Nothobranchius furzeri: one gene and its partners. Each later gene encodes a partner of the first gene's protein in a complex. Links are inferred from orthologs where the notes say so. Each region holds a gene or a part of one and is shown on either strand. Other genes may lie near its edges.

Region 1 (11,124 bases):
ATTTTAATGGTTATTAAGTGTTAAACGATGTGGAGAGCCTGACTTTTAAAGGGAATGTACAGTGAAACTAAAGCTTTATTGTTTCCACCGTCGACATATTTATAGGGTTTCCACAAGTTCTTGTTGGAGTTCTAGGTTCTGTCAAGCCAGACTAGTAGAAGTAAGCGTGGACATGCTGAAGTGGCTCCATGTTTCACCCCTCCTGTTCTAGTTTAGGTACAGAGAACCAGCTGACCGTTGAGTTCATTTCTCCTCTAATGAGCTGAGAACGCTGCACAAACTAACAGATCCAACCAGCTGAGTGAGCCAAAGGCAGCTGCCCACCTTTCCACAGCCGAACACAGCCATCGTCTCCAGAGGAAGCCAGCAGGGTGCTGGTGATGTTCCAGCTCACACGCCACACCTGGGAGTTATGGTTGTCGAACTGAGCCACGATCTGCACCTCCAACTTGGTTGGTCCGGTGGTGGTGCTCTCCCTCCTGTCAGACAGATCCACAACAAAAGTTTAGCTTCTGCCTGTGGGTTTAACCGACGCCTGCAGACTCAAAGCACGTACAGGCGCGTAGACGACCATCAGTAAAACACTTTGTTACAACACACCTTCTTCTGAGACTAAGGTGCAGAAAAACAAGGATGAAGACATCACCTCAAAGGAACAAGCTTAAATATTCTGACATCTTTTGTTGCGATGGCGAGGACGTGGAAGGACCTTCCCAAGTTAGGAGCAAATGCGATATCGTGGACTGCATCTGTGACTGTCATCAGTGTCTCTGCTTTACTGTACTTCCTTTGAAACAGAACAGGGAGAAATGTAATGAAACCCCTTTAGGTAGTACGAGTGTACACACACACACACACACACACAGGAGGACCTACCGTGTGTTTTCATTATACTCATAAATCTGAACCTTCCCGCCGTAGGTCACGTTGCTGTCATCACTCCCCACAGCAAACATGGGGGGATGGGCACGAGAGCTGCGGGAACACAAGACAACATCATCACTGACGGCTAAACATGGGACGGTTAAAGGACCACTGTCCACGTTTAAGTGACGTCCGATCAGTAGTTAGAACCCTACCAGCAGGTGGGAGGCGTCCTCTGACCAGCACAATACCCCCAACTACCCAGAAAACTATTGACTAACTTTAATGTAAAGAAATGGACGAACATGCTGAAGTTATCTGGAGGAGAAACAAGAACCTAGAATGCGTGGCTGGTTCACTCAGGCAACCTTTTCCTGTTTTTGATCCTGATGCAAAAAAATGAAAAAGTTCTTGTTTTTCGTATTTTTAGTTTTAGTCTCGGATCAAAAGTACGAAACCGTCCCGTAAACCTCTGACTCACTACTGTGAGTTACACTCTGATGTAGGGCGGCCTGCAGGAGGAAGACCCCCTCATACAGAGTTACACCGCTGCTTCAGACGGAGTTTAGATGTTTTAGTCCAGGTCTGCTGACCACCTGCTGCTACCCATTCCCAAAATGAGCAGCAAGGCTCGTGGGGAGCGTGCTTTTGTTTCGCTGCTCTAGAACTGTGGAACAGCCTCCTTCAGTTTAAATCAAACTTCGGCACACTTCTTTTGTCTAGCTTTTGGCCGGTGAACGTTCTTTTTATGCTGCGTCTGTTTTTACTAGCTTATGCCTTTTTATTGTTATGGCTGAATTCTTCAGCATACCAACATGGCCAGAACCTCCAGCCATCAGTCAGGGAGCTGAAGCCAGGATGGAAATGGATTATGCAACAAGACAATAACCCAAAGCATTCCAGCTAAACCACGTAGGAATGATTAATCCAGTCAAAAGTCCGGACCTTAACCCAGTTGAAATGTTGTGGCGAGACCTGAAGAAGTTGGCACACGCCAGGTTCAAGCAGCACGGTACGCACAAGGGAACACTCGGACTGCTGCCTTCCTACATCTGCTCCCTTCTGGAAATGAAAAATTTTAAAGCCGCTTTATTTTCTTTTGGAATAATCAGCTAGATCGGGGTGAGAAACCCTTTCAGGGTTAGCTGTTAGCCATCTCTGTCATAGAAGAAAGAAGAAAATATCATTTCTATAGCGCCTCTCAAGATAAAAATCACGAGGCGCTTCACAAAAACAAAAAAATGTAAAAATATAAAAAAGCATTTAAAAAATGTGTAAAAATTTATTTAAAATGAGCAAAAATAGGCAATTGGGATTTAAAAGAAAAAATGTTAAGAAAGAGAGAGAGTGAATAGGAAAGAGGGAAATCAGTGGATCCTGAGGAAGGTGGAATAGGTGGGGAGAGCAGAATAAAGAGAGAGTGGTGAAGAAGGTCATACAAAAGCCAGCTTGAACAAGTGAGTCTTCAGCTTCTTTTTGAAGGAGACCACTGAGTCCACTGATCTCAGGCTCAGGGGAAGAGAGTTCCAGAGTCTGGGGGCCACAGCAGCAAATGATCTGTCACCTTTGGTCTTTAGCCTGGTGCTGCACAACCAGTAGGCTTTGGTCACTGGACCTCAGGGACCTGCTGGGAGTGTAGGGACTAAGAAGATCACCAATGTAAGATGGTGCTTGTCCATGTAAGGCCCTAAAGACCAGAACCAGGATCTTGAAATGAACCCTGAAGTTGACTGGCAGCCAGTGAAGCTGGAGGAGAAGCGGGGTGATGTGGGTGTGTTTGGAGGACTTGGTCAGAAGCCGAGCACAGGTATTCTGAACCACCTGTAGACGGTTCAGGGAGGTTCTGCTCAGACACGTGAAAAGAGAGTTACAGTAGTCTAAGCGTGAGGAGATGAAGGTGTGGAGAACTGTCTCAGGTTCAGAGTGGGATAGAATGGGACTCAGCTTAGCAATGTTCCTGAGATGGAAGAAGGAAGAGCGAACAAGAGAACTGACATGAGAATCCAGGGTGAGAGCTGGGTCAAAGGTCACACCAAGATTCCTGACAGAAGGTTTGGTGTGAGAAGCAAGCTGACCAAGAGAGTCTCTGACTTTGGGAACCAGCTTGTCTGGGGCACAGATGAGGATCTCAGTCTTATCTTCATTCAGCTGAAAGCTCCCACCATCCAGGTTTTGATAGAGTCTAAGCAGGTGTGAAACAGCTGCAGCTTAGACATCTCATGGGGCTTAAAGGAGATGTACAGTTGGATGTCATCTGCATAAAGATGGTAGGAGATTCCTTTGAAGGAGCTCAGGATGTGCTGAAGAGGAAGCAGATAGAGGAGGAAGAGCAGAGGCCCCAGCACAGAACCTTGTGGGACACCATGGGTAAGAGAGGTGGTGGAGGACCTAAACTTGGAGACGGCCACAGAAAAGGAGCGCTAAGACAGATAAGAGGAGAACCACTCCAGAGCAGATCCTGAAAGGCCTACCCAGTATCTCAGCCTCTCCAGTAGCAGGTGATGGTCAACAGTGTCAAAGGCTGCAGTCAGGTCCAGCAGGACCAGAACAGAACAGTCCCCTGCATCACTGAGTCAGAAGGTCATTAGAGACCCTAAGAAGAGCTGTTTCAGTAGAATGAGCTCTACGAAAACCTGACTGGAAGCTATCATAGATGTTATGTTCATCAAGAGCAGCTGTGAGTTGTTTAGCCACAACCTTTTCCAAGATCTTGGAGATGAACGGAAGTTTAGAGATGGGTCTGAAGCTGCTGTGGAGAGAGGGGTCAAGACCCGGTTTTTAAGAAGCGGGTGGATTACAGCATTCTTAAAGTAAGCAGGGACGTGACCAGAAACCAGAGAAGCATTAATTATAGAGAGCACGATGGGACCGATGGACAGAAAAGCACTTTTAAACAAAGATGAGGGTAAGATGTCGAGGGGGCATGCAGAGGTCTTCATAGAGTTAACTAGTTTGGTTAACTCAGGCAAAGAAACAGGTGCAAAGCTATCTAGGATGATGGGTCTGGTTGGAGTCGGGAGAGGCAGCGATAAGGCTGAAGGAGAGATGCTAGATCTGACCTTATTGACTTTGTCCACAAAGAAAGACAGAAAGTTCTCACAGTCTGTAACACCTCTTGTGTAATGACCTCTTGTCATAAAACAAGACATAAAGGAATGGCAGCAGCAACAGTGATGCTCAGGTTTAAGGAAATTCTCCAAATGACCGATTACAGAAACAAACATGTCCCCCATGTGTTAAGTGAAATAATTATCATCTAACCTGGAAGGGTTCCAGGATATACAGCTGCAGCTGAGCTTGCATGAGATCTCGTGCTGCAGAGACCACTGGCTCAGGTTCATCACGTCAGGAGCCTCGTAGATCCTCACCACTCCATCAGCAGAGCAGGTGGCCAGCATCAGACCCATGTGTTTAGGAGCAAACTTCACATCAGTTACAGATGTTCTGCTGTCCACCAGTGTTGTTCTCTTTATCTGAATCAGAGCACCAGAAACACGGGTCAGGACTCGAGACAGGCAAACCTATGAAAACATTAATGACTGAGCTGTGGCTGTACAAACCCAGTGGCTCAGGCCTCTCTGTTTGTCATTGGACTCCCCTACGATCTCCTCCCAGACAGCAGCTGTTCTGTCGAAGGAGCAGGAGGCCAGGACCTGCCCAAACTCTGGATGGGCCCAGGTTACTCTCCACACTGATCCACTGTGGGTCTGCACACACATCATTACATCATGGATAAGTCCAAAATACACAAATATACACTCACCAGTCACTTCATAGGTACATCTGCTACCTCTGGGGTCAATCTTTCGTAAACATGGCCTATCATTCCATCTGTATGCTGACGATTGCCAGATTTACTCTCCATTGTGTCAGGAGAAAGGTCACTTTATTCAGTCCTTTGTCTCCTGTGTTAATGAGGTGAAGTCTTGGCTAATGTCCAACTATCTACATCTGAATGAGGGAAAGACAGAGCTCATTGTTTTTCACCCCAACAGCAGGAATGTGGATCGTTATGCTGATCTTGGCCCTCTTTCTCCATACTCAAAACCAGTTGTTACCAGTTTGGGGGTGAAACTTGATGTAGGACTTAAATTTGATGCTCACATCAATTCTGTGATCCGGTCCAGTTTCTTTCACCTGAGACGCCTTGCTAAAATCAAGCATATGCTGTCAAGAGCCCACCTGGAGCGGGTACTGCATGCCTTTCTAATTTCTTGGCTTGACTACTGCAACTCTCTATATGCAGGGTTGTATCAGTCAACACTGCATCGCCTACAGGTTGTGCAGAACAGCGCTGCCAGGTTCCTGACTGGGACCAGGAAACGGGACCACATCAGTCCAGTTCTGGCCTCCCTGCACTGGCTTCCGATTTCCTATCGCTCACAATTCAAAATACTCGTCTTTGTTTATCATTTCTTCCAGGGTGGTGCTCCCCCCTATCTAGCCACACTCCTGAAAAGACACTCCCCATCACGCGCTCTGCGCTCCTCTGACCAAGGCCTGCTCGCTGTCCCTCGGTCTAGGTGTCGTACCCGTGGGGACCGAGCTTTCTCAGTCCTAGCACCGTTACTCTGGAACCAGTTGCCACCCTCAGTTAGGCTGTCCCCTTCTCTGCCAGTCTTTAAGAATCACCTAAAAACACACCTCCTCCGCTTGGCATTTCCAGAACATGTTTGATTTTGGCACTCTTTTATGTTGAATCCATTCCACAGTTTTCATTGGTACACTCAATCCATCCACTCAATCCAAATGTGTTTCACACATTTGTATTTTACCGGAATGTTTCATCTATCTTGTAATTTCCATTTTGTATTTTGTAATTTGTATTTTGTAATTTGAATTTCTTTTATTGTTGATTTATTCAATATAATTACTTACAACTGTACCATGTTCAGCGCTTTGGGCTTCCTGACAGGGTTGCGGAAGGCGCTTTATAAATAAAGCTTTGATTGATTGAAAGCTTTGATTGATTGACCTATTCTACAGCTTTGCACATTTCCACTCAGCCAATCGCATGACGGGCGGCACTGTCCATTTAGGCATCTAGACATGATGAAGGCTACTTGCTGAAGTTGAAACTGAGCATCAGAATGTGGAGGAAAAGACATTTCCATGGTTTGAATGTTGTATAGAATAGAAGAAGAGAAGCTGAAGAGTTTGACCATGTCCAGCCCTTTATGACCACATAGACCCATCTTCTGATGCTACTTCCAGCAGCACCATGTCACATAGCTCAGATCATCTCTAACTAGTTTCTAGAACTGGACTCTAATGGCCTCCACAGTCAACAGATCTCAGTCCAGCCCAGAACCTTTGGGATGTGGTGGAACTGGAGCTTCTCATCATGGTTGGAGCCGATGCTGTCATGTCAGGTTGGACCAGAGCCTCTGAGGACCACTTTAACTTCTTGTTGGCTCTTTGAGATGAAGGATTAAGGTGGTTCTAAAGAGGTCTAAAAGAGGTCCAACCCGGATCTATTGGCAAACTTGATAGTGCCCGTGAGTGTAGAGCAATAGTAAATCTGTTGAAACAGCAAAGATTACCCAGGAAGGGCTTTTACGGTCATGTAAACAAACGTAAGCAGGTTGTTTACCTTCCAGCTGGCTGTGCAGTGCCACTCTCCATTCTCACTTTTGTCCCAAACCTGTCAGGAAGTCACAATAAACAGCTGCTGTTACGTCATCTCCACACATTAATTTTAAACTGACAACACACGAAATGAGTTCCTATGGTTCCTACCTAAAACACAACACTCGCTGCCTTACGTGATTGAAGCTTTTACTGATACGTTCATATTCCAGTCAAACGTCTGCACACATTAGCCTGCATGCTACAATGTAAGTACAGTAACATGCAATACTTTAAATTAGTTTATAGTTTTAAAACAAATTTTGTCTAATTTAGCTAATAAGCGCATAATGTGCCAGCACACAACACGAGTGTGTTCAGTAAGAAGCTAGGAACGTGGGTGACGCTAACATGCTAGCTTGAGTCAGCTCACCTTCACACTCTGGTCGCTGGAGCATGTTGCCATTCTCCGGCCGTGAAAATCGTAAGAGACATCGTGGATCAGATCTTTATGGTCCGCAGCGATACTCCGAGCTACGAACATGGTTAGAAGAAAAACAACAGCGAGATTAGCTGCACTGCACTGGTTAGCACAAGCTCCCGCCTGTCACGTGACAGAGAGAAAGAGAGAGAGAGAGAGAGAGAGAGAGAGAGAGAGAGAGAGAGAGAGAGAGAGAGAGAGAGAGAGAGAGAGAGAGAGAGAGAGAGAGAGAGAGAGAGAGAGAGAGAGAGAGAGAGAGGTTTTTGAACAGTGAACCACATTGGGGGGGGGGGTGCTTCAATTCAAACAGGGTTGCCAAGTTTGGCGAATTTACTGCATTTTAGATACAAATGAGATGTTCATGGTACACTTAAGCATAAGTCACTCACTTCTTAGGGTTCTACAACCCCCTTCAAAGCACTTTACAATACAACCAGTTATTCACACACACACACACACACACACACACACACACACACACACACACACACACACACACACACACACACACACACACACACACACACACAAACACACACACACACACACACACACACACACACACACACACACACACACACAATGAGCCCCAGGGCAACTGTAGCTACGATGTAGCTCATCACCACCAGCACCAGCATGTTAATGTTTATGCATTGGGGAATTACACTTTGGTTTTGTTAAGAAGGGAAGGGGAGATGACCGTGTTTAACCTGTAACATAAATACAGTTATTATTGCATTTTTAGCTAAACAATAAGAGAATGAGTTCCCCTCATGAGTTGCTATGGCCACAAATGCTGTAGCATTTCATTTAATTAAAGAGCAAGTCACACTACAAGAAACTTACTACACTCCCACTTCATGTTTGAAAAATGCAACGAATGCGTTTGCCTGGCTGACCGAGAGGGCGGAGCCGTTAACAAACACACACAAACAGGTTCACAACGGCATTGTGACATCATAATGTACCAGCTGACTTCAAAGGGTACCTCTTAGCCAACAGTGATGGCAGATTTAAATTCAAATGTAGTGCAGAGTTTTTACCTGAAGGGGGCGCAACACTGACAGTTTTAGGCTGCATATTTAAATTATAAGATGCACTAAAGTGCCAAATTATTGACTACACACATCTATAGAGCTCCGGACCCCACGTGACTCTCAGTTAGTAGACGCCATATTGGCAGGGAAAAAATGGTAAACAAACACGGATCGTAAACATGAACATGAACGGGATCGGCTTGGATTTTACTTCGTCTGAGTTTACTTCACACTTTAAAACTGAAGAAATCGTTTTATATAGTCAGAAATTAAATAGACCAAACATCTCCGACCCTTAACCGTGCCCCTGGGATACTTTTTTAAAACGCCAGAAGCTGTCGGAGCGGACTTCTTACCGGATCTGGCCGGGGAACCCCTTGGGATTTCCCCGGAGGAGCTGGCTCAGGCGGCTGGGGAAAGGGAAGTCTGGACCTCTCGACGCTACTGCCCCCGCAACCCGACTCCGGATAAGCGGATGAAAATGGATGGATGGACAAATAACAGATTTACACGTAAGTAGTTTAAATAGAGTGCTGTGCTGTTTGAATGTATAAACTGAACACCAAGAGAAATCACTAGTTTGATTGTTTTCCATGAATAAAATAAATATGTCAGGCAGGAGCGTCTCAGGATCTGTCTGAGATCTGACTCGGTGAGACAAATAATAGCAATCCAAAATGCTTTTTATGTGTGATCTGACAATTGATCAACCATTGCTTAAAAATTAAATACAGCTTAGCCGGTTAACTGCTGTGATCATAAAACACGTAAACGGCAGCACGCAGAACTCACGAGGCAACGTTTTACGTGATGTTTACTTGCTGCTATGAGTAATAAGACAGAAAAAGCCACGCCAAAATAAGTTTAGGAAGCCCACTAAGAATCGTAATAAAAGCATTTAAAATAAACACCATACACAGTTGAGGAAACGTTGTTTAAGTACCTGATATGAAGCGGTCGCTGCATAAGCGAAAACCTTTACTCTCGGGGTCCCACAGCTTCATTTCAGCCCGGTCACTAGCGCGTTTTATTACAATGATCCAACGTTTGCGGTGCTCCGGATCTTGGGGAATCCTGTAGATGGCTCATTCCTTATGTCGTCCGTGTCTGTTCTGCATCCTGGGGCACAACAGGAATCTACCATATTTCCTGTCTGATTGAGTTTTCTGACAATAACAAATAGTCCAGCTGCCGGCTTCTGCATGCCAATATGGCGCCATTTCGATTTGAACTGTTGCATGCCGGGAGAAGTGATGTCAGCTCCCGGAGCTCTATAGCACCATTAGACACTCGTCTATATAGTTTATCAGTAAAATAAGTTGATTTGGGGTGACTTGCTCTTTAAAAAACGGTTTCTACTGAGTAACTATTGAATGTACTCCTTCTCCTTAATATTAATACTCCCATGAAGACAAAAAAAATGTAGGATTTTGTTTTCCAGCTTCACTGAGATAAGCAGGTTTGTGTAGCTCTAACTGATTGCCACTGTGGGGGCTCTAACATAGCTCTTCATTAAGTAAAGTTTGTAGCGCTGTAGCTAGCTGGATTTGCCCTTTGACTCCACACAACTATTGAATATAACACTTACATAAATACAGTTTTCATTGTGTTTTAGATGAATAAAAAGATTAAAAAAAACAGTTAGAGTGAGTTTCCCTGTTGCTATCATGCTATCATGCTATCAGCTATAATGAATGTCTCTGACCTGTGAACCATCAGCACCGGTTCCCCTCAAGGCTGCGTTATCTCTCATCTGCTCTTCTCGCTGTACACCAACAGCTGCACCTCCAACCATGAGTCTGTGAAGCCTATCAAGTTTGCAGACGACACCACCGTCATCTCACTCATCTCTGATGGGGATGAGTCTGCGTACGTAAGAAGGTGGAACGGCTGGAGTCCTGGTGCAGCCACAACAACCTGGTGCTAAACACCCAGAAGACAGCAGAGGTCGTTGTGGACTTTAGGTAGCCCCCCCCCCCCCCCCCCCCCCACACACACACACACACCTGTAACCCCGTTTGACACTCCCATCATGATGGTGGACTCATGTTGCTTCCTGGGAGCCACCATCACCTCCATCATAAAAAGGTCCAGCAGAGGATGAACGTCCTGAGACAGCTGAAGAAATTCAACCTATAAGTATAGTCAATGAAGTTCTACACCTCAGTCTTCAAGTTCATCTTCACCTCTTCAATCACCGTGTGTGGTATGCTGGAGCCACACACATACTCTCCTCCAAATCCAGCTTGAATCCAACGTAACATTGTGTGTTGTAATAATCAAATTTCTTTATTATCATTGTATGTATTATTATACAACTGCAAAATCAGGTTTATTATGTAGGTTATTACTATATAATTACAAAATGTGTATTGTATAATTACTAAATAAAACCTGACGGAGAATTTAACGAGTGTTATTTTGTTTTTAGCCAGTAAAGAATATGTTTAAGTTTTGATGATAAAGTTTTTTTTTTTTTTTTTGCACAAGCGCTGAAAAAAGCCTCCCGCTCGCTTGAAGCGCGCGCAGAGATGCATAACTGGCAACCCACGTGAGTCAGAGGGAGGCGGGCTGGCTCCCAGGCTGCAGGGATTCATCATCAGGTTACACACAGCAAGCGCAGCTAGATGGCTGGCCGAAGCCGGACGGTGTGAGTTGGGGAACGTCGCTGCTAACGCTCTCTACTCGTCCCCCTGGCTCTTCACCTCTCCCATCACAACCAGAATGGAGGCAGAACTGAAGGAGATTGATTCGCGCGGCGAATGGCAAAACATTTATAACGTAAGTAGGGTCCGCGGCAGGGCCTCCGGTGTTTCTATGACGATCAGGAGCTAACTAACTTAGCTAGCTAACGTCAGAGGCGCTCGCGGCAGCGTCCGGATACCACCGCGAGCCTCCTGCTGAGTGGTATTGACCCGTGGGCTGCTGAGAACAGTAGCCGGTGTTCCGGGAATTTCTCCTACCCCGTAAACCGTCCTACCCGTTGTTACTCGGAACTCCGGCTGTGTGCTGCTGCTGCTGGGGGGCTGATGAGAAACTAGCAGCCAGCTTTAGCGTTCGCTGACTTGCGTGCGGCGGCGGAGCTTCCACCGGAGCTGTTATCTGCTGGCTGACGCCTGCAGACGTCAGCTGCAGTTTCTGAGAACTCACCGGTGTCGGTACACGGGACTTCCA
Region 2 (9,988 bases), on another chromosome or scaffold:
GAAATATGTGAGGAGAGAAATTTAATCTTCTGCGCAAACAAGTCAAGGTTAGGTTAACATTTGTGAAGGGTTCCTCGGACACAGGTCTCTGTGGATCTCTTTACAGTTTAGTTTGCTTCTCTGGGTTCAGATCGCAGGGGTAGCAGTCTGAACAGAGGAGCCTAGACTGTTCCCTCCTTTGCTGAGATCTCAAAGATGTTTCCTAACCAGCCTGGTCATGCATACTTTCAGAATGACCTGAGATGGCCTCAGGGTCACCTCCAAGCAGGCCCAAAACACCTCCTTTAGGAGGTTTTCAGGAGGCATCCTGGGCATACGCATGAACCATCTCAGCTGGTTCTTCTCCGACATGGAGCAGTGGCTCTACTGAGTTTCCTCTGAATGTCAGAGCTCTTCATCGCATCTCCAAGGCTGAGCTCAGCCACCCTGAGGAGTAAATTCATTTGTGTGCCTGGTCTTGTTCTTTTGGTCATTACTATGGGTCTAGCAGCACTTTTTCTTGTATTTTTCAGCATGTACAGTACGAGAGCTACTGCTTCAACTGAACCATGTTCAGCGCTTTGGGCTTCCTGACAGGGTTGCGGAAGGCGCTTTATAAATAAAGCTTTGATTGATTGATTGATTGATTGTTTGATTGATTGATTGATTGATTGATTGATTGATGGAGTGAGGCATACCTAGTTCCCATACGGAAGTGTAACTTTAGCCAGCAACACATGAGGCTACGTCCAAATTCAGGGGCTGCATCCTGAAAGACGGGGCCTACCCAGTCTTCGTAGGCTGGTGTTAAGACCAGATACCAGGTCATTTGTTGACCCGGAAGACCGGAAGTGAACGGCTGTGAAATTGGGCAGTCTAGCCTGCAACCATGTTGACATCGCTAAACAGAAGTTGAAGCAGCAATGCAGAGCAGGGGTGGTATTCAGACCCCATCAATTTTTCACTCTTTGTTATATTGCAGCCGTCGTCGTCATCTTCCTCCTCTTATCCGGGTCCGGGTCGCGGGGGCAGCATCCCAACTAGGGAGCTCCAGATCGTCCTCTCCCCGGCCACCTCCACCAGCTCCTCCGGCAGGACCCCAAGGCGTTCCCGGACCAGATTGGAGATGTAACCTCTCCAGCGTGTCCTGGGTCGACCCGGGGGCCTCCAGCCGGCAGGACATGCCCGAAACACCTCCCCAGGGAGGCGCCAGGAGACATCCTGACCAGATGCCCAAACCACCTCAACTGACTCCTTTCGATCCGGAGGAGCAGCGGTTCTACTCCGAGTCCCTCCCAAATGCCTGAGCTCCTCACCCTATCTCTAAGGCTGAGCCCGGCCACCCTACGGAGGAAACTCATTTCGGCCGCTTGTATCCGCGATCTCGTTCTTTCAGTCGTTACCCAAAGCTCATGACCATAGGTGAGGATTGGGACGTAGATCGACCGGTAAATCGAGAGCCTGGCTTTCTGGCTCAGCTCCCTCTTCACCACGACAGATCGGTTCAGCGTCCGCATCACTGCAGAGAGAGAGAGAGAAAAGATAGATAGATAGATAGATAGATAGATAGATAGATAGATAGATAGATAGATAGATAGATAGATAGATAGATAGATAGATAGATAGATAGATAGATAGATAGAATCTATTTTGAACACCGACTACAGCGGTATCTGTATATCTACCTATCTATATGTACCTATCTACATATACCTAGATATATATTGATAGGTACACACACACACACACATATATATATATATATATATATATACATATATATATATATATATATATATATATACATATATATATATATATATATATATATATATATATATATATATATATATATATATATATATATATATATATATATTAGGGCTGGGCGATATGGCCTAAAATCAGTATCACGATAAATTGAGGATTTCACCTCGATAACGATACATGGACGATAACTACAGGTATGTGCAGAAACAAATGTTGTCCACTAGATGGGGCTGTCACATGTACTACGCTGAGTCACATTTTTACGTGACTCAAGGTGGTCCAGCTTCTTAAAGGGACATGAACAATGCCAACCTACAAACATCTTTTCATTTTTTATTATCAAATTCATTGACATGGGAAAAATTATCTCGATAAGAGTCAGAAATTTCGATAACGATAAATTTTCTATTTATTGCTCAGCCCTAATTATTTATATATATATATATATATATATATATATATATATATATATATATATATATATATATATATATATTAAACTACTCTAGGGGGATCTGAGGCATGTCAGGTATAGCCCGTCTGGGGCAATTTGAGAAAAAAAAGGTTGGTAAGTTACAGGTTGGTGAGAACGTATGATAAAGTATCTATACATGTTCACAGCATTATAATATTATATTTGAATGATTATATATCCTATCCTGTCTTTAATCTATATGAACACTGACTACAGCGAAATCCTCTGATGCATCCATGCTGCTCAGTAGCAGAACTGTACTGATGTCACTAGTTACTAAAGAACCAGTCAGCTGGCAGAGCTGCTGTTGAACATGTGAGCGTACAGAACTTGCAAAACTACGTGATTAAATTTAAGAAACAAAGTAGAATCCAACTGCTGTTATTTATTTGTTGTTGTTTATAGAAACTAAATCTATCGGCAGGGCTTTAGACCCAGGGCAGAGTTTTATACCTCAGACCAAACCACATCCAGACCTGTTATTAAAGGGACAATATGGAAGTTTGACAGCCAAAACATGTATAGAAATAATAAATGTATTCTTCATACATTCTCCTGCAATGCCCTGGTCCTGTAGAATGAGCCCTGGCATTTTTACTGTGATTGCCTGTTTTTCTGCAAAATCACAGAAAAAGAGAGATGCTCGGGTCGAGCAGGCTGCTTCATGCACGTTCACGCTCAGGCATCGCCCGTAACATTTGCTATCAGTAGCTTTAACAGCAGAGAGAGAGGCAGTGCCAACTCAGCGACTTTGTCGCTGTTCCTAACGCCTAGTGATGAACCTAGCTTCATTTCTGAGGACCCTTAGCTACTTTCTTCTAGATATTTCCTACAAATTAGCAACAAAATTGCCATTTTCTCTACGAACCGTTCTTTGAACGTTGTTTCAGCTGTCATCAAGGATATAAATGTTACAGATACAAAAGATGTCACTGATGCTATAGCTCACCCAGTAAGACGGCGGACTCCTGTGCAGAAGACCCGGGTTCGATTCTGGATGTAAATATAGTTCATTTTGAGTTTCTTTTTTACATTAATGGTATATTTTTTTACAGTAAGATGCCCAAATTTTTATTTGAGACTCGCCGAACGGCATTGAATTCACAGATAAAAAAGATGTGGGTTCAACTTTCATTTTGGAACAATTTTTCAAGCAAGGGAAGGGAATGATCTGAGCATGCAGGAGGACTGACCCATCATAAACCTTTGTCGGCTGTGCTGAAGAGAAAAGTACAGAACCAAATTATTTATTTAATTAGCTGTGCGTTCTCCTGTCCTCCGGGCCACACACACACACACGGGACTGTCAGCTGCTATTTTCGTTAAGGAGTGTGCACGTACAGCATGTGCGCCTCGTGCACGAGCCTACTATTGAAGCTGCCGTTACGCTTTTGGCCTGAGGGGGCAATCGCAAGCATCAAAATTCAAAACTCCGTAAAGTCCCTTTAATAATAGTGTGTATTATTTACACTAATCAAAAATTCTGTAATGTTCGCAGACATCTAAACCTTAGAAATGAAATAAAATCAATATTAAATTTAAAAATAATTAATATTGTTTCTTCATTAAGAGAACAGTTATCTGTGAGCACTTTTTATACTTGATATTGTCCAGCTGAAGCAGACATCTGCTTATTTCTAACAGAGCTGAGCTGTGGGAGAAAATATACAGGCTTATTTAATTTTATTTTCCCATCACCTGTGAGTTTTGAGCATTCACTTAATATTAATTATAAAATCATAAATAACAGGTCACTCTGGGCTAGAACGTGTTTCTAGGAACAGAAGCTTGTTGGGTTAGGTTGGCAGCAGCTCACCTGTTCCTGACAGGAGAAATCCTCTCATCAGCAGCAGGTGATCTACAGAGTAACACCGGCCCGAAAAAATAAATAAATAAATAAAAACCCAAAAAACACCGAACTCAAATAGGGCCACCGGGAATTTCCCCAGCTGGGTCCTGGTTCCGCCCACCGTCGGATATATAAACACACAACTTAGATCTGAAAAACGGAACTATGAAAATATAGTTGACTTGCAAAAAAAGGTATTAGGGTTGACACTGCTAAGATTACACGTGTGATCCACCGAACAAGCAAGGCAATTGACACATAATAACACAGTATTCTGTTACCAGTCAGCAAAGATTTACAAAATAATTATGGTAAAATGTTATACCTGATGGTAGGTATCCTGTTCAGCTGAGACTCTGGACTCCAAGCCAAAACTTCGACTTGCAACTCGTGATGAAAAGCTCGAAGTATGTTGAATTCAACTCCCTCCACCTCCATATCCTCCTCCTGTTGATGCAAATTCACATGAAAGACAAAAATAATCGATGTGAAGGGTAAACCTGGCTGTGTGGAGCTGCATCTCTAACCTGGAAGAGGCAGGTGGCCACCACCACATACTGGTTCCCACCGTAAGCCAGGAGAGAGACGGGGGTACCCGAGCTGAAGGGACTGAACTCCACCACATGGACGTAGTCGTCACATGGCACAGTGTAGCTGGGACTGTGGATAGCGCCCTCCTGCATGACGTGTATGCTGGGAAAGCTGGCTCTGAACCGGGACTTCCACTGTTATTTATATCAAAACAAAGAGGGGCAAATTAGCACATTAAACAGGATCATTTCTGCACAGATCCGGTAAAACTGTTCTAGTAATGAGTTGTTTCAGTTTGTCTCAGTTGTATTCAGGTAATAATGTAATTGGTTACTTTACTCACAACTGTTAAACGTGTTACTCGGTCTATCATTTTGATGACTTCTCACTTTTCACAGAATGTGCTTGAAAAAATATGTCTTCATTATTTCTTAGTTCATCCAATGGCTAGTTTTAAGTTATTAATATTAATATAATGCACAAATGCAGGGGCTCCACATTGACATAGCTGGTAGCCTTGCAGCAAGAAGGTTGCAGGTTAAAGTCCTGGCTATGGCACTGACCTAAGAGATGCATTTCAGGTTAATTGTCTCAAGTTTTGAGTGTGAGTGACTGGTTATCTGTGCGTTCCTGTGATGGATTGGAGAACTATCTAGGCTGTTCTCTGCTTCTCGCCTGATGATCGCTGGAGTTACCAGCTACCCATGACCCTGCTGAGGGTAAAGCAGTTAGGAGTGAACTGCTTATGCTCTTGTATTTGTTTATTTAGGCAGAAACCCTTCTCGACTTGGAAACCCGGATTACTGATTAACTTTTATTTAAAATGACACAAAAATAAATCTGAAAGATGTTCAGACTAATTAAAAATTATATAACTTAAATCATAAAATCTAAAAGGCACAGGCTGGTTTTGGCTGAGGATAACGGAGAGGGCTTGATCACCTGGTTTCCTTAAATTGTACTTTTCTTTTACAAATTTTGGAAGGTAGTCCTGGTAAAATCAGTGAGAAACATTGCGAATGATGCTACAAAGCTATTTAGGTCACTGTTTAATTCGGCAAATTGTAAACACAAATCAAACTTGAATAAATCATAAATAGAAAAATTACACAGGAAAGATACTTGAGTTACATTAAACTACAGTTTTTGTAAACGGCTTTACAGTTACCAGTTACAACAGTGGGGTATCCCGAACATTTGGGAACAAAAACTGCCTCTTTTGTCGCGTATAAATGTATTTCCAGTAAACTCTGTCCACTCCACGCGTGCACATAACAGTGAGCTAAAACCTGGGGCTCCAATTATTACTGGTTTTTAGCAGTAAATGCTCAAACCGACAACTTATGATCCAATTATTTCTATATATTGTATATTTCCATTTCAAACCCTGTAATAGCTTCAATACTTTACCAAACTACTGGCAGTGAAATTGCTGCATAAACAACGCCGCGCGCTCGATGGTTTTCTCATCTACTTCCGGATACGATTTGTGGAACGTACCATCATTTGAAAATATCAGGGGGTTAAGGGGTACAACGAACCTAAATAAATCATACATATTTTTTTAAATACATGAAAATACAATCGTACTTAATCATAATTTATGCTAACTTCAACTTCAGTAAACTGTTAACAGTTCGTAAAATGTGATTGATCTAAAAGTACATTTGTACAAAGCCCCCCTGTGTGCTTGCTTCAATTTAATTGGCCAGAAGGCACATGGCGTCACAGTCGATTTAAAATTTCAAAACAGCTGCTGCCTTTGTCGTGGACTTGGAAGGCTGCAACGAGAAAACAGGTTAGAACTGTTTAAACGGTTTAAACCCACTTTTTGGGGTCAAATTTTAATATAAATGTGTCGAGTGTGTGGGGGTACATACAGGTGATGAAAATAAAAATAAATATAATGGAACACGTTAGTTGTGTTATTTCAGCAGTTGCTGGCCACAACATCTGACTGAAGATGTTAGGCTTTACATTTATGTTCAACATATTTTATTTGCCTTTCAAACACAAACTAAAGCTCTTCTAGTAAATGTTACTTAACCCTTTTCTAAATCTTGAAACCAACACAAAAACAGTCTTAAAGAGCTCTTTCTGCTATTTTTGTTATAGGATATAATGACAGCTTTAGGGGACCGCCTCAAGGTGATGGTGAAAACCTTCAGGAGAGAGTGTCACAGGATGTTGGAGTCTGAAAGGACCACCATTCATGGAGCTGACGGCATGCTGCTGGTGCTGCAGGTGGCCATGGCAGAAGTGAACAAACAGGTGAGCGTTAGTTCATCCTGTTTGTGATGCAGATTAATTTTAAAAATCAAATCTTCCAATAACCTAGGTTTTAGTTTTGTTAACATATATTTAAAATTTTTCATATTTATTTCACAGAGGCATGCACTCTGTAATAAAACATAATAATAGAACGTCCATACCTGATGACAATACCCGAATGAGACTTCTGATTGCTAATTTTTTGGACCTCTGCAGGTCTTTCTCCTTTTGGACTGGTTGGTTCCAACCCATCAGTAATTGTGACTTCTTCTCTCCTCCTCTGACAGCTGAATGGAGAGTTCAGAGTGGCTCTGAGTGACGTCCTGATGGCCTGGAAACACTTATTGTTAGACAGACTTCACCTGCCGCCCCCCAGCTCTGCACGTTTGGAGAACTATGATCTCATCCTGGAGGCGTATGAATCTTTCCTGCAACGCTCCAACACGCTGGATCTGATTGATGTCCTGTCCATGTACAAACAGCTCAAGGTGGTGGACTCTGACCCAGAGGAGCCCGTAGGCTCGGTGAGCAGTAAATAGTTAGTGGAGACTTGATTTGGTTATTGAATTATAGATAAAACTGATGAAAAATCTAATGTGCTCTTAACTTTTTTGTTTTTCACCAAGATCCAGCTGTTTGAGGTTTTATCAGGTAACATGGAGGTCCCAGAGGGGCCAAACTCACCAGTCCCTTCAACACCATCCAGCAGAAGCAGACCTTGCAGCTCACAGGTGGGCCCACTTGGTGCTGTAATGATAATAGAGGGTAACTTGGGTTAAGTAAATTGCTTGAAAAGCTATTTATATTAATACCACTACTTGTGACCAATAGCTGCGATACTCTATATAAATAGAATATCCCCTGCTTGGTCTTAGGATGATTAATTAGAAGATCCTAGGATTCTTTTAATTATCAGGGGATTGTACACACTTTGCTTTGATTCAAGAAACAGTCAGGTTTATATACAAAGTAAGAATTGATTTACAAACACTTAAGACTTGACAAATTGTTTAAACTATTATTTGCTGTGAGTGGATGCGAACTAAAGGATGGTGTCTGGAACCTATGTGTGAATATAATGTGTTCAGAATCTCCGTTCTCAGAGCTGAGTTCTGGATGGAAAGAATTTGGTTTGCAAATAAACTATAAAGATGTTATCATCAGAACCACATTCAGATGCTATCTCGCTGTGTCTAGCTCACTCGTTCTGGAAGACCCCCGTTGGATCCAAGATGTCCCGGGACCGACGACCCCACTGCACCTGGCTCGTAGATAAACCTCGACGCGCCCAAATCAGCCCTGGGATGTCTCCCGGGTCACAACGATAGATGAAACCGAGCGTCTTAAAAATAACTGTGAAGGAGTTTTGTGTCAGCTTTGTTCTGCAGCAAACTATCTTGTTGTTTCAGCTTCGCAGGTGCGAAAAAGGTTTTGACGACGTGTCAAAATCCTTCTGGTTAGAGAGGTGCTAAAGATGGCCGGTCTGAAGCTCGCTCTAGAACTGACTAATTACCCAAAGCCATCTGGTTTTAAAGAATTGATATTATGGTTTTGCCAGCCAATCAGGGGCTGACAAGTTTGAGAGATGTTACCAAGCATCTCAGACACACCCTCTGTGATGGAGACTCCGAATGTGGGCACAAGGTTAACTCTTGTGTCATGCATTAGCATAACTTTACTTGTGAGTGCAAATGTTGTGACCTCGCCAAGTAAACATACTAAACAATCATTGAACACAGATTATTGAAACATACCATTATTTATAACTATAAATGGCAATATTTCATGATTATCTTTAATTATAAAATCTTCTTTTCTTCTTCATCTGGGAATAAAGGAGTTTGTTTTAAATAGTTCCACGGTGATGGACCTTGGAGGAGAAAATGTTTATTGTTCATTATTTATTATCTCTGCAGTCCAGCTGGTGTGAGGAAGTAGGCTCTGATTAAAGGGGCTACATGCAGACTTCGAGTCTCCTGTGAGGGGAAAAGATTGTAGGATGTGTCATAGCCAGGGTAAGTTGACCTGGCTGTGCATTTGACCCGTGGGATCTCAAAATCAGGCCGTTCGTGACGTTGCAGTGCGTAAAGTAACCTCTTTTCTTCACTTCTGCCATCATTAAAACATAATAATAAAATATTTTCACCTGCAGGCGATAATCCGTGGTTTTACTTTTCCAGTCCCATCTGGAATTCATCCTGCTCTTAATGCCAGGATCTCTACATCAAATCACTCAGATTTAAGAGCTCAGTGTGAACCCAATTACGGTGCAGATGTTTAAAACACAGCATGGCGTGGAGCTTCTGTAACATGGCCTCCTTCCCTTTCTGTCACGTGTGAATTTACGAGTTTCCACCAAAGTCTTGCTGCTGTGATATCGATCACGTTCCTTTTTTCAGGAATTAAATCAGGGTTAGAGCTGCTGAGCTGTGGATGTTTTGAGCCAGAGGATTCTAAAGTAAACTGACGTACTGGTCTTAAACGTGGTGTCTTTCCCTTTTCTGGTGCATTCAGACTTAAATTAGATGTTTTCTGTTTATTAAAGGTGAAAACGGCTGTGAGACGGGTTTTCTGCTCTTATCTGAGTTTGCTGGTGAACTCTAAAAACGACATGGCCTTGGCGCTCACCCTCGACGTTCCATGTCGCTCTCTTGGACAACAGGCCTTTACGGACATCAAGCATGCTGCAAGAAGCAACAAAACCTCTCTCTTCCTGGTGAGAAACTTATGTTCTCGGCTTCTTGCAACGTGTGCCACAAGAAAGCCAAAGACGAACGTTGAGTTATCACTTCAACATCAGCATTTTAGGCTCTTTCATTCTTTTTGCAGGCTGTGACGTCTTTCGTCAGGGCCATCCAGCTCGGAGGGAAGGGCTACGCTCCAGCAGAGTCCGATCCGCTTAGGAAGCACGTCAAAGGCCTGTCTGATTACGTCCAGTTTCTAGACATCCTGGAAGAGATTTTGGGGGAGACTCCTGACCCGAGGTACTCAACACTGAGCACTACAACATTTTCCTCCTGTTGCGTTCAAGTTGAGTCCGTTTTTTAACCAGCTGGGTGTGCGACTTAAAGGAGAGCTCAGACGTATTTTTATTTGGAAACAAACTCAAACTC
Region 3 (9,929 bases), on another chromosome or scaffold:
ACGCTTCTATGAGCCGTTTCAAAATGCCCCATATTGTGATGTCACAAATAACTTGACCCGGTTCATTCAAACCTTCTCCACATCCTGTTTACTAACGGCTGCGTGGAGTGCGGAAATCTAGAAAGCAATCATTAAAGGTTTTTAGAACAGGAAGTTGAAACGGTCCCATGTGGACCCAAAACCAGGAGCTTGAATGGAGCGGACTAGAGGTGTGGAGGACACCTGCCGGTGCGAGAGGTTAAAGATAACATTATTTGGCATTTTAGTGAGTGTTCAGAACCAGAACTGATGAACGGATCTGTGTTTCTGAGACAAAACGGGTTTAATAAGCATGAGTCATCACACATCTGTGGTTCTGTTCATCCTGGGACAAAACCAAGCAGAACACAAACCCAGAACAACAACTATACAGGTTGTTCCTCGTTTCCATCAGACTCCGCCTCTAGTTAATGACGTCATCACTTCTTGAACTTCCTGCGGGTGGCGTTAGGGTTGGTCCGCCTCCTGCCCCCCCCACACTGCTCGTCTCGGATGTGCAGGTTGGCGGCTCGGCTGTAGACGTCGTTCTGGCAGAAGGGTGAGGACCCGGCCACGTAGTCCGGGTCCAAGACGTCCGTCTTCTGGCGGGCCTTTCTGGAGAGCCGCTGCTGGGGGAAGCGCTGGTCCTCCACCAGGTGGGGGTTGTTGGCATGTTTGCCGCCATGCGGGAGCGGCAGAGAGTGCTGCAGCAGACAGAATGGGCCAGAGCCTCATCACATGACCCAACAGAATCAGGTTCTGTCTACATATCTCATCTAGACCACATCCTGAGAGAACTGCTGGTGACCTTTCAAAATAAAAGCCTGATTCTGAGCTTCTCACCCGGAGCCCTCGGGGGTTCAGGACTTTGGGGTTTCTGGAGAAATGCATCTGGATGTTTCCATCGTTGCTGACACTCACTGCCACCTTCTTCAGGGTCTGGTTTCCACAGTGAGGACAGAAGACTTTGTTCATGTTGCTCGTTGTCCTGGAATTAAGGAAGTTCTGTTAAGTTCTGCGGTCAGAGCGAAGGAACACCAGGAGGAGCTGAAACTCAAAACTCACTTAAAACAGGCGTGACATCTCAGGATGTAGTTCCTCGTCTGTTTGATCACCATCCCATTCACAGACAGGACATGGAGGCCCATCTGGATCAGAACATTCTGCACATGCAACAGAAGCTCCGGGTTAGTGAGGAGGAGGATCCTGCGTCAGAACCTGAATTATTAACGTTCTCCTTAGCTGGGTTCCAAACCACTTAGGACTCGGCTGAGGAGAACAAAGGTCACATGATCCTGTGCTAACACACACACACACACACACGATCAACACTGTGGTTCTGGTGGAACCATCCGTTACCTGCATGGCAAAGTCGGTGGTCAAACATCCAACTATGACATCAGCTGGAACCGTCCAATCAGCAGAGTCCATCTTCACCTGTTTGATGTTACTGGGTGTGATCCAACCTCCTCCATCATCTTCATCATCTTCCTCTTCGGGCTCGTTCTCTTTGTCCTCGTCACCTGAAACTGTTGTCTCTGTCTGTGGTGAGGCTCCGCCCTCATCCTGAAAACAAACATGCGTTCAGCTCCGAGTTCTCTTCAGACAGCCCACATCCATCAGGTAGGGCCCAGAGTTTACTGAAGAACTGGGTTTTGAGGACCCAGTTCTCTCAGTCAGTTCTAGATCTCTAAGTCACAGAGGAACTGGTTCTGATCTGGGATCTGAACTCACCAGTAGAGCCAGCAGGTCCTCGTCGATGCTCGGTACGGGCTCTCTCCAGAACTGGAAGCTGTTGAAGTGTTCTGTGTCGGTGGTCTCGGAGGACATCTGCGGTTCCCCCTGCTCTTGGTTTGGACCTGAAGCCTCCACTGGACCCTGACTCAACAGAAGCAACACCAGACAGTGTGTAAACATCCTGAGACACCAAGCAAGCAGCTGATTGGTTGGGACGCACCAGGAGGCCCAGCAGGTCATCACTGATGGTCAGAAGCGGATCCCTCCAGAACTGGAAACTGTTGAACTGTTCGGTGCTGGACTGGTTGGACGTCTGTCTCTCTGCTGTTTTCTGTCTGCTGTCTGCAGGTCTCTGGAGGGACGAAAGCCCAGACGCTCAGAACTCCTGCAGTTCCACCAACAAGTAAATCTACTTTGGTTCTGGTACCATAGAGGGAAAGTGGAACCCTGCGATGTTAACCGGTGCCTCTGGGTGGCGTTGTGTACTCTGGATGTTCACCTGGAACACAAAACAATCTATGTCAGTAAAGTTCAGGTGTGTGTGTGTGTGTGTGTGTGTGTGTGTTACTTTTCTCTCCGGCTCCTTCTTCAGGTGCTGTGAGCCCACGTGCTCCAGGTGTAGCTGGTAGGTCAGAGCCAGAACTTTGATGTCGGTGGACGACAGACTTGGATAGTCTCCGGTCTTCTTGGAAAACTCAGAGACTGAAACCACAAAGAGACAAACAGAGGGGTCTGGTGTCAAACCCCAAACGCAGGACCTGGTTTAGGTCAGATCTGGGGGTTCTGGAGAGAGTTGGGTTAGACCTGGAAGATCAGTCCCATTAGCTGATGTGTGTGCTAATTTTGTTCTCTACATTTGACCCATCCCCTGGGGGAGCGATGAGCTACAGACACAGTTGGTGGTTTAACTTGGTTAACACCCCCCCCCCCCCCCACCCCCCCACCCCCATCATCTTAATGCTGAGTGTCAAGCAGGGAGGCATTGGGTCCCATTTTGTCAGTCTTTGGTATGACCCAACCACTAAGCCTCTGAGCTGGTAAGGTTTAGGTTAGACCTGGCAGGGGCGTGTCCAGGGAGTGGCCTGGGGTAGCAAATGCCACCCTTGGAATCTGATTGGCCACCCCATGTGCCACTGCACTGAATTCCCTTTAAATAGGCTTTTCACTGTCCACAAAAGGCTTGGGGTTAAAAAAAAAAAGCATAACCATTGGTGCCACCCATGCACAAAGTGGTGCCTCACCTGGGCCACCCCATTTTAAAGATCTGGACACACCACTGGACCTGGGAGTTCAAGACTGGGTTTAGGTTAGACCTGAGGGTTTGGTTACCATATCTGATGTGTTCTGGATGTGGATCCTTGAAATGAAGCTGGTACGGCAGGCAGGCCAGGCTCCTCCTGGTGGGTTTGTCTCTGATTTCATCCACCACATCTCTCAGCGTGTAGATGTTCCTGCCGATGTCCTGAAAAACAGACCAGCTGATCTGGACCTTCAAGTCACTTTAAACTCACGTTTCTGTAAAATCTAAATAACCCGATCAGCTGATCGGTTTGTCTACTGATACCTGCAAAGGTGCCTTCTTTAAAAAGGCTCCAGCGTCCGCGACAACATGCTCTATCAGGGTCTGCGCCATCTTGATGTGATGACAAGCAGCTGGAACGACCAATCAGATGAGAGGAAACAATCCCATTACGTGTAGAGGCATTCAAACTACCCCAAATGTGTCGGAAATTTTTTAATTATTCTATGTGGATTTAAATGTGATTTGACTACATTTATGTTGCCTTGGGGGTGGACCCCAGTTTTTGTAGATATTAATCATGTTAGTTGTCATGGAAACCAAGACTACTATTCTAATTAGGGGTGAAAATACTTCTAGCTATAATATCATTTGGCGAGACGAATCAAACTGATTAAAGAAAAGTTAAAACGTCTGAGAGTAATAATCAATATATGTCTATAATGCGAATCCTCGAACGGTGTTTTCTAAAACTTACATAATCTGTCATCTGTCTCTCGATCTGTTGGCGTTTGTTCCCACCGCCACTGAACGCAGCACGATTACATAATAGTCACGTGGTGATTTGTTTGGAATAAGAAGGAAGATGGCTGCCCGTTGGAGCAGTGAGAATGTGGTGGTTGAGTTTCGGGATTCCCAGGTGTTGCTTTGTTTACTTGTTTATTTGTTAGTATTTCTGGGCGGAGCCTCAGGCGAGACTGAAGCTGAAGAGAGGAGCTTGCCTGTAGAACCGAATCTAAACGGCCCCTGTTAGTTGTTACAATGTGATCAACTAGTTTTAAAATCGATAACTTTATTGATCACGTGGTTTCAGACCCGCACACGCAGGTCGGTAGAGCGTGAAACTAATAAAATTATAAAACTCTGGAAACAGCAGTTGTGTTACGTTCAGGTGTCCACCTGCAGCAACTGTGTTACGTTCAGGTGTCCACCTGCAGCAACTGTGTTGCGTTCAGGTGTCCACCTGCAGCAGCCGTGTTACGTTCAGGTGTCCACCTGCAGCAACTGTGTTACGTTCAGGTGTCCACCTGCAGCAACTGTGTTACGTTCAGGTGTCCACCTGCAGCAGCTGTGTTACGTTCAGGTGTCCACCTGCAGCAGCTGCGTTGCGTTCAGGTGTCCACCTACAGCAGCTGTGTTGCATTCCAGCTTGTGTAATCCAGGAACCCAATTTCTGTTGGATTTGTAGTGATAGTCCTGGTCTGCTGTCAGTCTTCCTGTTGTTTGTGAAATCATGTGACTTATCATGTGACACGGCTGATAAATGGGTCTCATGTTGTGTTTCAGGCCACAGCCATGTCCGTGGACTGCCTGGGCACCCATGCGGTGCTGTCAGGGTGAGTTCCTGACACCAGCGGCTCGATTTTCTCCTGTGCTGAAGTGTCTTTGAGCAACCCGTGGAACAGATATTAAGATGTCAAAGCAGTCAGACGTTTGATCTTAAAATAAACATTTTATTTATATGGAACTAGAATAAATCCAGGTATTTTGTTTGATCTGAAATATTTTGGAAATTACCCAGTCAGACAGGCTTTAGTACAGATTCATTGATACTAAACATCATCTATGGATCAGAACCTGTGTGTGTGTGTGTGTGTGTGTGTTTTCTATCAGAACTAGTTAGTTTACTCAGGACATTCCAGTATCTCAGGTGTTTGATCAGAACATACAGATCAGTTAAATGCTTAAAAACCTGAGGATGAAAAACAAGGTAATCAGCTGATGTTGTTGCCATCCAGCCGCCACTTCCTGTACATGGTGAACCTGGAGGCCCCGTCTGAACCGCCTCGTAAGATTGCACGCCAGAGTAAGTGGGATGTGGGGACGGTCCAGTGGAACCCCCACAGGTCAGAGGCTCACGTCTTTGCTGCCTCGGTGAGTTAAAGTGACCTTCTTCAGCTTTTACAGAGTTTCTGCTTTTGTTCTCCTGATAAATCTGATTGGATGAACTGTCATCAGTCCCGCCTACATAAATACCCTTACCCAAACCAAGCCAAACAAACGTGTACGTGTGTCTCTCCAGAGTAACCAGCGTGTGGACCTGTACTCGTGGAGGGACGGCTGTGGCGAGGCCCACACCTCCCTGCTGGGACACACTCGGGTCATCAGGTAACAGCAGTCAGGAGTCCGTCTCACCTGTCGGCAGGTGAGGACGGTTGAAACTCACTGTGATGTGTTGGTGTCCTCAGTGATCTGGACTGGTCCTGCTTCGACTCGGAGCTCCTGGCGACCAGCTCCGTGGACACCTACATCTACATCTGGGACACCAGGTGAGAACAGGTGAAACCTCGGTATCAGGTTAGATCAGAACCATCTGACTGAGTTCTGACCCAGTATGACCCAGTAACGCAAACGTGCCACTGAGGTGGAGTCTGACCCACTGAAGTTTCTGATCAGCTGATTAAATCAACACCCGCTCAGTCCAAAAGGTCCTTCTCCCGGTTTCACCTTCAACAGCTGCTGAACTGGGTCGGTTCTGAATCTGTTTGAGCTGAAGCAGCTGTTGATCATAAAACCCACATTTACCCCGACCGTTCAGCGTCTCATCATGTCTGTTTGACTCCACAGAGACACCAGGAAGCCTACTGTGGCGCTGTCTGCTGTCGGTGAGTCTTCAGGATAAAAACGCATGTTCAGACACTCAGGTGGTGCATTCAGGGACCCTCCGATATCACAAAGATTATGTCGACCTCTACCATCAGCAGCTGGCTTTGTGTCATAAACGTACCACTGAGTGATCTCATTAAAGCTATATATATATATATATATATATATATATACATGTATACATACATATATATATATATATATGTATACATACATATATATATATATATATATATATATATATATATATATATATATATATATATATATATATATATAATAGTAACATCTGTCTGATCTGTCCACCTGTCCCTTTGTCCACCAGCTGGAGCGTCTCAGGTGAAATGGAACAGGAAGAACCAACATCTGCTGGCATCCAGTCATGATGGAGACGTTCGGGTTTGGGACAAAAGAGTGAGTCACACACGAGTCCGAGTCCAGCACCCAGATTATCTGTCCTCAAACCTGGACCAGGAGCTTCCAGGTTCTTAGAGAAACTTGAACGTTTAAAATGCTTTAAAAAAGTCCAGGAAGTTAAGATTCTGGTTGTGATGATGGTATGTGCGTGCGTGTGACAAAATTCCCTCTGAGCAGAAGCCGAGCACAGCAGTGGAGTACGTAGCGGCTCACCTCTCCAAGATCCACGGCCTCGACTGGCATTCAGACAATGAATATATCTTTGCTACGTCCAGCCAGGACAACTCAGTCAGGGTGAGGACACAACTGTCCCCAACGTGTTTACAGAGCGGAGGAGCCATTAGCTTAGGTCTCAGAACCCCTGGTCTAGTCCAGTGTTTGTGTTTTCTGTGTCTGTGCAGTTCTGGGATTACCGACAGCCCAGGAAGTACCTGAACATCCTGTCCTGTCAGGTTCCAGTGTGGAAGGCCCGGTACACGGTGGGTCTGAGCTCAGTTCAGCCCAACAGAGACACGAAGGATCAACTAGAATGGCTTATGGTTAAATATTATGATGTGTGTGTACGTTCGTTCAGCCTTTCTCCAATGGTCTGGTCACCATCATGGTTCCTCAGCTGAGGAGAGAAAACAGTTTGTTACTGTGGAGCACCCTCGACCTTAACAGTCCCGTCCACGCCTTCGTTGGACATGACGACGTGGTTCTGGAGTTCCAGTGGCGACCGCAGAAAGAAGGTGAGACCTGCAGACTCAGACTTTAGCTGAGATGCATAGTTACCGATGCTGTAACCTTCCCCGTCTGTCTCCATGGTAACAAGTCCTGTGACCCCTCCTCTCTCTGTCTCCATGGTAACAAATCCTGTGACCCCTCCCCTCTCTGTCTCCATGGTAACAAATCATGTGACCCCTCCTCTTACTGTCTCCATGGTAACAAATCATGTTACCCCCTCCTCTCTCTGTCTCCATCGTAACAAATCATGTGACGCCCCCTCCTCTCTCTGTCTCCATGGTAACAAATCCTGTGACCCCTCATCTTACTGCCTCCATGGAAACAAATCCTGTAACCCCTCCTCTCGCTGTCTCCATGGTAACAAATCATGTGACCCCTCCTCTCTCTGTCTCCGTGGTAACAAATTATGTGACCCCCCTCCTCTCTCTGTCTCCGTGGTAACAAATCATGTGACCCCCCTCCTCTCTCTGTCTCCGTGGTAACAAATATGTGACCCCCCCTCCTCTCTCTGTCTCCATGGTAACAAATCCTGTGACCCCTCATCTCTCTGTCTCCATGGTAACAAATCATGTGACCCCTTCCTCTCTCTCTCTCTCTCTCTCTCTCTCTCTCTCTCTCTCTATCTCCATGGTAACAAATCCTGTGACCCCCCTCCTCTCTCTGTCTCTGTGGTAACAAATCATGTGACCCCCCTTCCTCTCTGTCTCTATGGTAACAAATCCTGTGACCCCCCTCCTCTCTGTCTCCATGGTAACAAATCATGTGACCCCCCTTCCTCTGTCTCCATGGTAACAAATCATGTGACCCCTCCTCTTTGTGTCTCCATGGTAACAAATCATGTGACCCCCCCTTCCTCTGTCTCCATGGTAACAAATCCTGTGACCCCTCCTCTTTGTGTCTCCATGGTAAATCTCTGAACTCTTAACTGATTTCCTTGTTTTTTTCCTCGGTCTGAGTCTCATCATCACCAAACATGATCTGCTTGGGCCTGAAGGTTCTGGTTCAGATTCGAACAACACAAATCTTTTCTTGAACATTTTAGATGCTGACTGACAGAAACTGAGCCATTGAGTCCGTTGATGGTTAGGTTGAACCTGACTTGTGTCAAACTGATGGCTGACTGTCTTGTGCAGGCTCTAAGGACTTCCAGCTGGTCACCTGGTCCAGAGATCAGACTATGAGGATATGGAGGGTTGATCCTCAGCTGCAGAAGGTTGGTCCTGGGTTCCACCTTGGGGCGATGGTGGCACTGGAGTTGAGTGCGCGCCCCGTAATCGGAAGGTTGCAGGTTTGAGCACCGCTCAGTCTGTTGTTGTTGTGTTCTTGGGCAAGACACTTAAACCCCCTTGCCTTCTGGTGGTGGTCGGAGGGACTCGCCTCTGTCAGTGTGCCCCAGGGCAGCTGTGGCCACAATGTAGTTAATCACCACCAGGGTGTGTGTGTGTGTGTGCGTGAATGACTGATTGTGTTGTAAAGCACCTTGGGCGGTTCCGGGACTCTAGAAAATGCTATATCAACTACAGGCCATTTATCATTTTACCATTCTCTGAGCCAAGACACACAAGGTTCTGATTGGCTTACTGTTGTTGTGTAGCTGTGTGTCAGTGACATGGTTGAGGACCTGATGGAGGGGATGTCTCTCACCGTGGAGTCGGAGAAGTTCATGTCTTCCCAGGAGCCTGAGAGCCAGCAGACCGTGGGCCCCGATACAGACAACCTGCAGGGTGAGGTCAAGCTCTAGGCCCAGCAGTGTGTGTGTGTGTGTGTGTGTGTGTCATCCACGTGTTTGTCCTCTAGAAGCAGAAACAGCTGATCGAACATGTGATCAGCCATTGTCCTGAGACCATCTGAGGAATGGATCAGAACGATGTAGAACCCAGCAGAACTCGTGGTTTAAACTTGGTTCCTCGCTGTGACATCACACCTTAAGGTTTTGACGCTCTGTTTCCCAGATCCAGACGGCGGTCATCAGGACTTGGCAGCAGGTTCTGGTCTCGCTCAGACTCTTCAGCAGGAGTTCTCTCTGGTCAACCTGCAGATCAGAAACGTCAACGTTGAGGTGAGACTCTGACAGGTGGAAGAAACAGCATCGCTGATGGGTTCTATTGGACCCGTTCAGTCCAGCTCTGATGACTGTTTGTGTTTTGGACTCAGATGGACGCGATGAACCGAAGCTGTGTGGTGTCGGCCCACTTCGGCAGCCATCAGGTCCACCTGGTGGTCAAGTTCCCGGCCCAGTACCCCAACAACGCAGCGCCCACATTCCAGTTCACCCCACCGACAACCATCCCCTCTGCAATGAAGACCAAGATCCAGAAGGTACCTGAACGCACCGCAGCATGGTGCCGGACACACATGCTGGGTCTGGTTCTTTATTTCTGACCCATTCTTGGAGAGCAGGTAAACCATTCAAATGTTCTGGAACTCCTTTCAGAACAGTTTTCACATACTGTCAACTTACAGAACCGGTCCAGAGCCTGGTTCAGAACCCCTGATCCAACCCAGAACCCTTATGCTGCTGTTCTCTGGCGTCTCTCTGTGTCTCTACTTCTCTGTCTTCAGATCTTGAGGGACACGTCTTTTCAAAAAGTGAAGAGGAACCAGAACTGTTTGGAGCCGTGTGTCCGTCAGCTCGTGTCCTGTCTGGAGTCTGATATGGTGACAGAACCAGAACCAAAAACCAGCGAATGGGCCCAGTAGCCTGCAGGGGGCGCTAGCAGCTCTCATCAATCTGTTGTTTCTGTCTGACAGACCCAAGAGGACAGCCCAGCGTCTGGACCCTTCGTCTTATCCAATCCCGTCACTCCCTCCCTACAGGCGTTTCCTCGCGTCACCAACACTTACGGCTCCTACCAGGTAGAGTCTGCACTGATGAAGATGATGGTCCTTCTGCTTCAGACAAACA

The links.
Region 2: seh1l (region 1) and nup37 share a complex: the UniProt entries of both Homo sapiens proteins name them as parts of the nup107-160 subcomplex of the nuclear pore complex. The link is inferred for Nothobranchius furzeri from reciprocal best matches to the Homo sapiens genes SEH1L and NUP37.
Region 3: the proteins of seh1l (region 1) and wdr59 are in contact, whole or in part, in a cryo-EM structure (PDB 7UHY), measured with the Homo sapiens proteins. The link is inferred for Nothobranchius furzeri from reciprocal best matches to the Homo sapiens genes SEH1L and WDR59. Residues at the interface, in NP_112493.2 of Homo sapiens: Asn308, Tyr309, Met310, Asn312, Lys314; in NP_085058.3 of Homo sapiens: Pro713, Asp714, Glu716, Thr717, Pro718, Arg721, Arg837, Glu840, Gln843, His844, Asn847.

What each region holds. Positions count from the first base shown.
Region 1 is NC_091745.1:49,019,437-49,030,560, forward strand, and holds the start of seh1l (nucleoporin SEH1), read right to left. Parts: upstream 7,057-11,124; 5' UTR 6,977-7,056; coding exon 6,866-6,976; intron 6,509-6,865; coding exon 6,458-6,508; intron 4,572-6,457; coding exon 4,425-4,571; intron 4,338-4,424; coding exon 4,126-4,337; intron 976-4,125; coding exon 877-975; intron 788-876; coding exon 647-787; intron 480-646; coding exon 325-479; intron 1-324. Other genes in the region: ptpn2a (tyrosine-protein phosphatase non-receptor type 2a), read left to right, coding at 10,675-10,731. UniProt on the Homo sapiens protein: Component of the Nup107-160 subcomplex of the nuclear pore complex (NPC). The Nup107-160 subcomplex is required for the assembly of a functional NPC.
Region 2 is NC_091741.1:39,623,952-39,633,939, forward strand, and holds the start of nup37 (nucleoporin Nup37), read right to left. Parts: upstream 6,136-9,988; 5' UTR 6,075-6,135; coding exon 6,015-6,074; intron 5,990-6,014; exon of another isoform or gene 5,773-5,989; intron 4,799-5,772; coding exon 4,601-4,798; intron 4,521-4,600; coding exon 4,399-4,520; intron 1-4,398. Other genes in the region: parpbp (PCNA-interacting partner), read left to right, coding at 6,726-6,875, 7,163-7,399, 7,502-7,606, 9,421-9,591, 9,705-9,859. UniProt on the Homo sapiens protein: Component of the Nup107-160 subcomplex of the nuclear pore complex (NPC). The Nup107-160 subcomplex is required for the assembly of a functional NPC.
Region 3 is NC_091749.1:66,261,203-66,271,131, reverse strand, and holds the start of wdr59 (GATOR2 complex protein WDR59), read left to right. Parts: upstream 1-3,794; 5' UTR 3,795-3,860; coding exon 3,861-3,914; intron 3,915-4,561; coding exon 4,562-4,611; intron 4,612-5,013; coding exon 5,014-5,149; intron 5,150-5,297; coding exon 5,298-5,383; intron 5,384-5,463; coding exon 5,464-5,544; intron 5,545-5,842; coding exon 5,843-5,880; intron 5,881-6,206; coding exon 6,207-6,295; intron 6,296-6,475; coding exon 6,476-6,592; intron 6,593-6,699; coding exon 6,700-6,777; intron 6,778-6,872; coding exon 6,873-7,029; intron 7,030-8,157; coding exon 8,158-8,237; intron 8,238-8,618; coding exon 8,619-8,748; intron 8,749-8,976; coding exon 8,977-9,083; intron 9,084-9,178; coding exon 9,179-9,343; intron 9,344-9,586; coding exon 9,587-9,682; intron 9,683-9,775; coding exon 9,776-9,880; intron 9,881-9,929. Other genes in the region: RNA-binding protein NOB1, read right to left, coding at 459-722, 862-1,006, 1,084-1,181, 1,378-1,584, 1,753-1,896, 1,976-2,107, 2,183-2,254, 2,324-2,457 and 2 more. UniProt on the Homo sapiens protein: As a component of the GATOR2 complex, functions as an activator of the amino acid-sensing branch of the mTORC1 signaling pathway. The GATOR2 complex indirectly activates mTORC1 through the inhibition of the GATOR1 subcomplex.